Linked DNA regions of Coturnix japonica. The protein of the gene in region 2 purifies or fractionates together with the protein of the main gene of each other region. This does not show direct contact. Links are inferred from orthologs where the notes say so. Each region holds a gene or a part of one and is shown on either strand. Other genes may lie near its edges.

Evidence for each region. Proteins that work in one complex are often made in the same cells at the same time.
Region 1: the proteins of MLXIPL (region 2) and MLX purify together in Homo sapiens (affinity purification with western blotting; 3 studies listed by BioGRID and IntAct, counting the BioPlex papers as one, with this or other methods). This does not show direct contact. The link is inferred for Coturnix japonica from reciprocal best matches to the Homo sapiens genes MLXIPL and MLX.

What each region holds. Positions count from the first base shown.
Region 1 is NC_029542.1:4,577,951-4,581,978, reverse strand, and holds the start of MLX (max-like protein X), read right to left. Parts: upstream 2,807-4,028; 5' UTR 2,691-2,806; coding exon 2,646-2,690; intron 2,565-2,645; coding exon 2,528-2,564; intron 2,451-2,527; coding exon 2,367-2,450; intron 2,259-2,366; coding exon 2,152-2,258; intron 1,991-2,151; coding exon 1,891-1,990; intron 1,747-1,890; coding exon 1,647-1,746; intron 1,400-1,646; coding exon 1,198-1,399; intron 723-1,197; coding exon 666-722; 3' UTR 1-665. Other genes in the region: bifunctional coenzyme A synthase-like, read right to left, coding at 2,848-3,120, 3,176-3,322, 3,469-3,566, 3,649-3,733, 3,968-4,028. UniProt on the Homo sapiens protein: Transcription regulator. Forms a sequence-specific DNA-binding protein complex with MAD1, MAD4, MNT, WBSCR14 and MLXIP which recognizes the core sequence 5'-CACGTG-3'. The TCFL4-MAD1, TCFL4-MAD4, TCFL4-WBSCR14 complexes are transcriptional repressors.
Region 2 is NC_029534.1:140,773-145,028, reverse strand, and holds the start of MLXIPL (carbohydrate-responsive element-binding protein), read left to right. Parts: upstream 1-1,451; 5' UTR 1,452-1,608; coding exon 1,609-1,904; intron 1,905-4,256. UniProt on the Homo sapiens protein: Binds DNA as a heterodimer with MLX/TCFL4 and activates transcription. Binds to the canonical E box sequence 5'-CACGTG-3'. Plays a role in transcriptional activation of glycolytic target genes. Involved in glucose-responsive gene regulation.

The DNA.
Region 1 (4,028 bases), on a different chromosome or scaffold from region 2:
AAAGTTCACTCCTTTCCCATTCAGGGGTGTTACTGAAGAGTCAGCACAGCGAGGCCCCAGGGCACTCCTTCAGCACAGAGCTCGCTTGCTGCTCCATGTAATGAGCATTGCCCTGGCAGTGACATGCTAATAAACCTGCCCTCAGTTCTCCCGGGCCTTCTCCAAAGCAGCTACAGAAATTAAAAGCAGACTCTTGCTTTTCTAAGAGCTGCTTCAGAGGGAGGTATTGAAAACCTGCAGCTGCAGAATAACCCTATTCCTGAGCTGCATTAGCACAGCAACAGCTTTTAGCACTCTCCTATTTCTCCCTGCTCCCAGGTTCAATAGGGTTTATATCAGGTGTGAGGTTACAGAGCAGATTCACCTGCTGAGCTGCAGCCCTGAAATCAGTGGCACAGATAAACCCAACTGCAACCACCTGCCTGAGCTAAAGACACTGGCAACTTAAAAGATCTATATTCAATACACACTTATTTCTTTCCCTTCACTAAGTCCTTAGCAGTATTTGGTAACGTTGACTGTGACAGTACCTGTTTGCACAGCTTTGGTTTGGTTTTGTAGTGACAATAAATAATCGAAGAAGCTTTAAGGACCAGCACAAGGGAGATGGTCCAGCCTCTCCTGGCAGCTGTCACCCGGTCGGGAGGTGCTCCAGCGAGGGATGCTCAGTACAGCTGACTCTTCACCTGGTGCAGGACCCCGATGACAATGTCCCGTAGGGTCTGGGGCAGAGAGGAGACACAGTCAGTTGTTCAGGGGAGGAAAAGCCTTTCCCATGCTCAATGCTACAGACAGCACCTGGTGCCACAGATCTCAGCACCTGTATGGGAAACGATCGCCTGTCTGTGTTCTCAGGCTGCAGGGCTCCAGGCAGCCACAGCACAACAAGGACCTGGCCCTGCCCATGCAGCTCATTCTCTTCCCTCCTAACTTCTAAGTGTCTTATGGAACAAAGTGCTGGGGAACAAGCACCCTCTTTGTAAGCTCTGTTTTTCAGTGTCTGAATTTCACTGCCAAGCAGCTGGGAAATGAGAGGAACCCAAGCTCCCATGCCCCAGGTCCAGTGTCAGCCACATTCTGCCTTTCTGAAGGCCCAGGCGAAAGAAAAGCTGCACACAGGCCTACACTCCAGACAGGTGCAGCCATACACAACAGCCTCTGCTCTTATATCAACCCCCCTGTGTCTGCTGTACTCACATGGGGCTTACAGTGCTCCTCAATCCAGCTGAAGACACATGCTGACAGCTCTTGAAAACTCGTGACTGAGATGGAGGCATTAAAGGACTCAAAGAGGGAATCCATAATGCCTTGGAAAACGTTGAATTTCACCTGGTCAGAGACCTGGTCCTTCCCCTCACTCGGGTTGTCCTGGTGAGCTTTTACGATCTGCTCATAGTTCCTGAAACACCAAGTTTGGGGCTCAGTGCTATCGAAGCCTCGTACTGCACAGCAGCTGGGCGACAGCGGGGGCAGAAGCTGCTGCCAGTAACTGGACACTGAAAACAGCTTCAGAACTGGAGGCAATTTGGTACGACCCCAGGTGCCAGACTGCACACAGAGCACTGAGCACATCGGGGGAGCTTTGCAGGGACATGGGGAAAAACAGCAGGAAGAAGGGGGCAGCAACCAAATAACTTCTTACTTACACTTTCATTATCTTCAAGGCCATCACGTCTTTCCTGAGAGTAGAAACTTCCTCTTCTTGCTTCTTCTTTTCCTTGTGCAGGAACTGAATGTAATCAATGGCTGAACACAAAAACACAGAGTAAGCAGCACATGGGGCCCCTCTGACCTCCCTGAGGTCGGTCCCCGAGGCACCATCACACACAATCACCACATTGAGGTGCCTGAGGGTCGGATCGTGCCCTGCTGCCTCCTGCACACACTCACTCTTCTGCAGGATGACGGCCTTGCTCAGCTTCTGGGAGCCGATGGCGAAGTCCTGCTGCTGGCAGGTGGGCACGATGGCCTGCAGGTCGTCGTAGCCTTTCTGCAGGGGCAGAGGGAGCAGAACAGGCACAAACGGCAGCGGTTACACGGACCCACAGCCCAGCTCCCACCACGCGGCCAAAGCGGCTCCAGCCACACGCGGCTCATGGAGCGGATCCAGCACGGGACGAGGGGCTGGAACGCGGCGCGGCGCCCACCGACCTTGATGGCATCGCGCCGCTTCTGCTCCGCCTGCGTGTGCGCCCGGCGCCGCTGGTCCTTGTAGGACTCCTTGTAAAACTCCTGCGGGTAATCGCTGTCCTCGTCGTCTGCGGACACAGCGGCGCTGAGCGCGGGTCGGGACGGGCCCCCCCGGACGCCGCCGTCCCCGGTTGCCCCGCGCCCGCCCCGCTCCAGCCCGGTGCCCCCGTTCGTACCGGTGTTGGGCACGGACGAGGCGCTGGTGGATCCGATGCTGTTGGCGCGGGACACGACGCTGCCCTTCCTGTCCGTACCGAGCGCTGCGGGACAGCGGGAGCCGCTCAGCGGAGCCGCCCCATCCGCCACCCGCCATCGAACCGCCCCCCCCGGCACCTACCGGGCTCCGGGACATTGTCCCCGTACGCGGCGTCCACCTGCGGGCGGAGGGCGGCGGTCACGGGGCGGATGGTGGCGCTCCGGGCCTCGGCCCCACGGTCCGACCGCCGCCCCGTTACCTTCCCCCACGCTTCCTCCGCCGCGGCACCGGGCGGCTCCGCCATCTTCCCCCGCCCCGGTCACGTGGGAGCCGCGGGGGACGCCGGGAAGCGCCGCCCTCCCGACCGCGAGGGGGCGCCACGTGGGGACAACGGGAACAACGGGAACAACGGGACCAACGGGACACAAACAGCACGGACACCGGGAAACTGCGACCGCCCTTTAACCGCCGCTCGGCTGCGGGATCACGGCGCGGAACCGGCAGCGCCCGCCGTGCCGAGCACGGGCCGTACCCGCCCGGTCGGGGCCGCGGCGCTTCCGGTCCGTCCCGGCGCGTTGTGCGGCTCCGTTCGCTCCGTTCGCTCCGTTCGCTCCCGGTCCCGGCTCCTCTCGGTCCCGTTGCGGTTCAGCTGCTCGTTGCGGTGGCCGCGCGGTGGATGCGGCGCTGCAGCAGCTCCCACGCCTTCTCCACCTGACAACGGGCACCGTCAGCAGCTTCGTGCGGGGCTCGGCGCCGTTACACCGGCCCGTTACAGCGGCCCGTTCTCACCTGTTTGTGGGTGACGTCGGGCTCCCACGCGGTGCTCAGCACAACATGCGCCTCCCGCACCCGCTGCCCGTCGCTCATCTGACTCCGCAGCCGGTCACGCGCCGCCTCCTCGCTCAGCCCGTCCCGGCTCACGATGCGTTTCAGCGCCTGCGGGACCAGCACGGGACGGGGGGTCACGGCGATCACGGGGGTCACGGCGATCACGGGGATCACGGCGATCACGGGGGTCACGGGGATCACGGGGGTCACGGGGGGTCACGGGGATCACGGGGCGGCCGAGGGGAGTCACCCACCTCGTCCTCGGGGATGATGGCCGCCCACACCTCGTGCACCATCTCCTGCCATCCGGCCTCCAGCAGCACGGCGGCATCCAGCACCATCACGGCTTTTCCTACGGAACGAGGCCGTTCCTGGTCACCGGGCGGACACAGGCAGCGCCGGCAGCGCCCACTACAATCAGAGCCACCCGGTACCTTGAGCTCCTGCCTCCCTGATCTGCTCCCTGACCATCCGCGCGATCTCCGGCCACACGATGTCTGTGAGGTTCTTCAGCCGCTCCTGGAAAGGAACCGCAGCGGAGTCAGGGTCCTCCCAGAGGTTGGTCCACGAGGGGGCCACAGCTGGAGGAGCAACAGCAGCTGCTGCCTGGATGTGGATCCTGCACAGCCGCTGATTTACTGTGTGCTACTGCACAGGGACGTGGCATCAGCTCAAAGGGCTGGAAATCAAAGCGCCAGCACAGAGTTCTCTGCTCATGAGGTTAAATATTGACATTCCCTGTGCTGCTCGTACCTGGTTTCCAAACACTTTTGCCCCGAGGATCTTCCTGTTGATCGTCCCGTCTTTGTTCAAG
Region 2 (4,256 bases):
GAGCCCTGGCAGAGCAGCAGGGCTGGAACTGCTCTCAAATGAATGGGACAGAGCAGAAAGGAAAGTCACATTGCTGCCTGCCGCCTGGGGAGCTGTGAGATGCAGCCTTGACCTCAAATAGTTTCTATCTGCGGGCAGAGAGGAGGGAAGAGGATGCCGTCATCGAGTGTTGGAGCACTGCAGAGCAAGCAATGCTGTGTTAAACTGATAAAACCTGGCACCCACGTTGCTGCAGGGCTGCACATACTGTGAGTGCAGATGAAAACTCACTGGCTTGGAAGTAAAAGGGTGTTAGAAGTGCCTCTTTGGAAGATGGCTGCAGGGTGACAGCTGTACCATCTTCTTCAGTGCGTGGGCTTGGAATGTGAAAGATATTTCTGGAGAGCTGAACCTTACCAATAGAGCTGGCTCCAACAGCCAACAACGCTGGGTGAGATCCGACAAGCAATGGAGATGGGAAACTCAAACAGCCTCGTGTCGTGTCCTTGTGAACCCATCACTCCACAGTGACCTCCCGTCTGCTGTGGGGTGATGGTCATAAACCCAATGATGGGAGTCCATCCAGGAGAACGTGGCAGAAGTTTGGGTGTGGAATGGCACCAGAGCTCAGCTGTTCATGCCAGGAATCAAAACAGCGCACACGTTCTGGTTGAACAGCAGCAGTGATGTCTGCTGTAAGGCCTGGAGCACCTGCAGGGATGGGGCTCCCACTGCCCTGGGCAGCAGCGCAGCACATCACCGCCCTCTGGGTAAAGACTTCCCTCCTGGTAGCTCATCCAGACCTCCTCTCTTTGAGTTCAGACCCACAACCAGCCCCCTCCTGTCACCACACTCAGCCCGTCCCCAATCCCTGCGGGTGTGCGACCACCCTGCCCAGCGCTGCCATCCCCCCCTCCCACATCTCAGCTCATGTTTTCCCCTCGGCTGTCCCGAGCTCTGCAGCACGGCTCAGTGACTCCATGAACGTTGTGCAGAGCTGGACGCCCGTTGCTATAATTTGAGTTGTTTGCATCCCTTAATCTGTGTTTGTTCCCTCGGAAGTGCAGGGAGACACACGAGGGCAGAGGCTCTGGGTAAACACGGCGCTGCTCTCCCTGCACACCATTAGCTCCGGGTAAACAGAGCAACTGCCAGCGGTGGGACGGGCAATGGGGTGAAGGAAGGGAAGGGAAGGGAAGGCCAGCCGGCCAAGGCCCACGAATGGCGGCCTGCAGCGCTGCCTGGGGCGCGTCATGGGCGGGATCACCGTGCTGCTATAAGTACGGCTCACCTGGGCACCCAGCACAGCCGGGCTGAGCTGCACCACGTGGCACTCGGTGCTGGCGGGCGACGTGCGGGGAGACAGCAGAGCAAAGCAAAGCAAAGCAAAGCAGAGCAAAGCAAAGCAAAGCAAAGCAAAGCAAAGCAAAGCAAAGCAGAGCAAAGCAGAGCAGAGCAGAGCAGAGCAGAGCAGAGCGGAGCAGAGCAGAGCGGAGCGGAGCAGAGCAAAGCAAAGCAGAGCAGCGTGTTCCGTGCAGGCTGTGCTGCCGGCTGGATGCCGGCGTGGTGCTGCGGGTCGGGTGCTGCGGCACATGTCTGAGGGCTCCAGCGGTGTGACAGCGCTGGGCGATGGCACAGGCCCAGCTGGGGCTGGCTGCCCCCTTCACGCAGCCCCCGGCCGGGCCAGGACCTGACTCTGACTTTGACTCTGACTCTGAGGATGCGGCTGTGGGTGGTGCTGGGCCTGGCACCGCACGGCAGAGCCCGTCGCAGGTGATCCACAGCGGGCACTTCATGGTGTCATCCCCACACCACGACGCACCGCCCCACCGGCGGCACCGCCGTGCAGAGCCCTCAGCGGCCGATCCACGGAGCATTGACCCGACCCTGACGTGGCTCTTCGAGTGCATGAGCCTGGAGTACAGGTGAGTCCAGGGGCAACGCGCTGCTCCCAGCTCTCTGTGAGGCCCACCTGTATGGGTGTATGGCCGTGCTGCTAATTGCCCCGCTGCTAATTGCTATGTGCAAACTGACGGATGGCATCCCCATCTTCTGTTGGGCTGCGGTGTGATATCTGCTCACAAAACATCCTAGGAGGTTCATGGGGAAGGAGCTGGTGCTGGTGCAGCTCTGATGGAGCCAGCTGAGAATTCCTTCCTGTCCTGGAGCATCTTTCCCACTCTCCTCCAGCAGAGCCGTCATCACCGCCTGCAGCACTCGGCCTTCGGCCATTGGTGGCAGCAGGCACCTGCCTCCTGTGTATTAGTGCCCGGGCCGTGACTGCATCCCCCCTTTCACCAGGGCCCGAAGGCTCTTTGCATTCTCTGCACCTCACAGCAGAACCTGGCACAGCTTTCCCAAAACTTCCCCTGAAATCCTGGGGCAGCATCTCCTCTTGTTTGTAAGAACAGACCCAAGGAAAGCAGGCGGGAAGTTCTGCCTTTCTCCTGGTCCCGTACTGGGTCTCATTCAGTTGCTGGCCTCCCTCTGCCATGGAGCACAGTGAGGTCACTCTCAGGTGCTGGTGCAACCAGAGCTGTGCAGGAATGGGGTGGGCTTCAGCACTGGGTGACACAGCCCATGGTCACGTTCCTCGTCACCAGGCTGACAGCCAAGGTGTCACCAGCTGAGTAACCCTGGTGCCATGCATGGGTGGCACTGATGGACAGGGCAGCCCCACTTCCCTTTGCAGTCCCAGCCCCACACTTGTCCCACTTGCTGCACGGGGCTGGAGCTGCCCGCAATTCGTTCATGTGCCCCTGAGCTCCAGAGCTGCCGGGCAGAAAGGAGAGGGGCAAGTGGCTGGGAGGCAGAGTGGACAGGAGCTGTATGACACCCACACCTTATGCTGCAGATATGGCTCCCTCCCTTCAGGTGTCTTCTGTGCAGCAGCCCCAGGGCCATCACTGTGACAAACCGTAGCTGAAGTTGAATGGCAGCCCTTGGCAAGGAGGATCCACAACAGCTACGAAGTGTTAATGGCACCCCTGTCGGCCACCCAGAGCCTGAAACATCAGCAGTGTCTCCTAGCTGCCTTGTTCAGCACCCGTGGGAGCAGCTCTTGGTTGGCCCTGGATTCAGGGTAGCTGTGGGTAATGGAATCCAGCTGGGGACATTTTGCCATTAGACTGTACCCAAATTCTCCCCTTGGTTCTTCTCTTTCATGGATGCCTTTCTGTCCCTCCATGCTGCCCCTCTCCATCTCACAGACATCACATTCTGCAGCTTTCCAGGACCCTAAAAAGAGAGTCACTCCAATCAGAGCTCAGGTTCAGCCTCCTATGGAGGCTCAGGACTGAGAAATGGTCACTTTTCAGCCCTCTTGGGGCCGGCGCTTCCCCTCCTGCCACAGAACAAGGAAGGGCTCTGCTGCTGTGCACTGCTCCTGCGAGGGAAAGCCAGGGGGGCTCACGTTGGCAAGGAGGACCATCCCTTCGCCTTCTCCCCCTGCTACAGCCCATTTCCTTCGCACAGCCCTGCATCTCTCCAGCTCATTCCTTGCCCCTCCTCTTGGTGCTGACATGGAGCAAAACACTAATTTTACTGCACAGTGAGGGCTGCAACGCTTGAACTTCTGGGCACGTTGAAGGCATCATGGAGCAGACGGGGGCTGCTGGCTGCAGTGCCAGGATGGGTTCAGGCTGAGCTGTGTGTCCCACAGCCAGCAGTGGGGTTTGTGATCCCACCCCTGCAGGGCAGCGGGACACCTGCCCTGTGCCAGAGTGCTGCTGCATCCCAGTCCTCAGTGCAGTTCACATCCATCTCCTCTGGACAGAATTTCAGTAAAGGGTGGGGCTTCCTTCAAGGCGAACCAGTGTGCAAAGATCAGCCTGATAAGCTCCAAAACTGAAAGGATCATTAATGGGAAGAAAGCAGGTTGCGGCGCAGTTCAGAGGCATCTCCCTCCCAGCCCCAGGTGCAGTGTCACACTGCAGCCCCACCAGCCCCATGCAGGGCCACGCACCCTGCTGCAGTTCGGGGCCAGGGCTGTGGGCTCAGGCTGCTCCTTTAAGCCAGTGGGCAGCGTGGGCAGCACCAGGGAGGAGTGTGGCTGGTAGCCTTGACCAGCAGGAGCGGGCCACGTGCTGGGGAAGGCCGTCATTTCCATTGGCTCCTCTGCCTGGCAACGCCACGCTGTTTGTTTTGTGCCATGGGGAAAGTTCAAAATCCCTGCTGATAGTGGAATGGCCAGTGCAGAGACGGGGCCTTAACCCTCTGCAGGCCACAGTGGTGGGGACAGGGTCCTTCCTGGCCTGGGGGCACAGAACGTCTCTCCC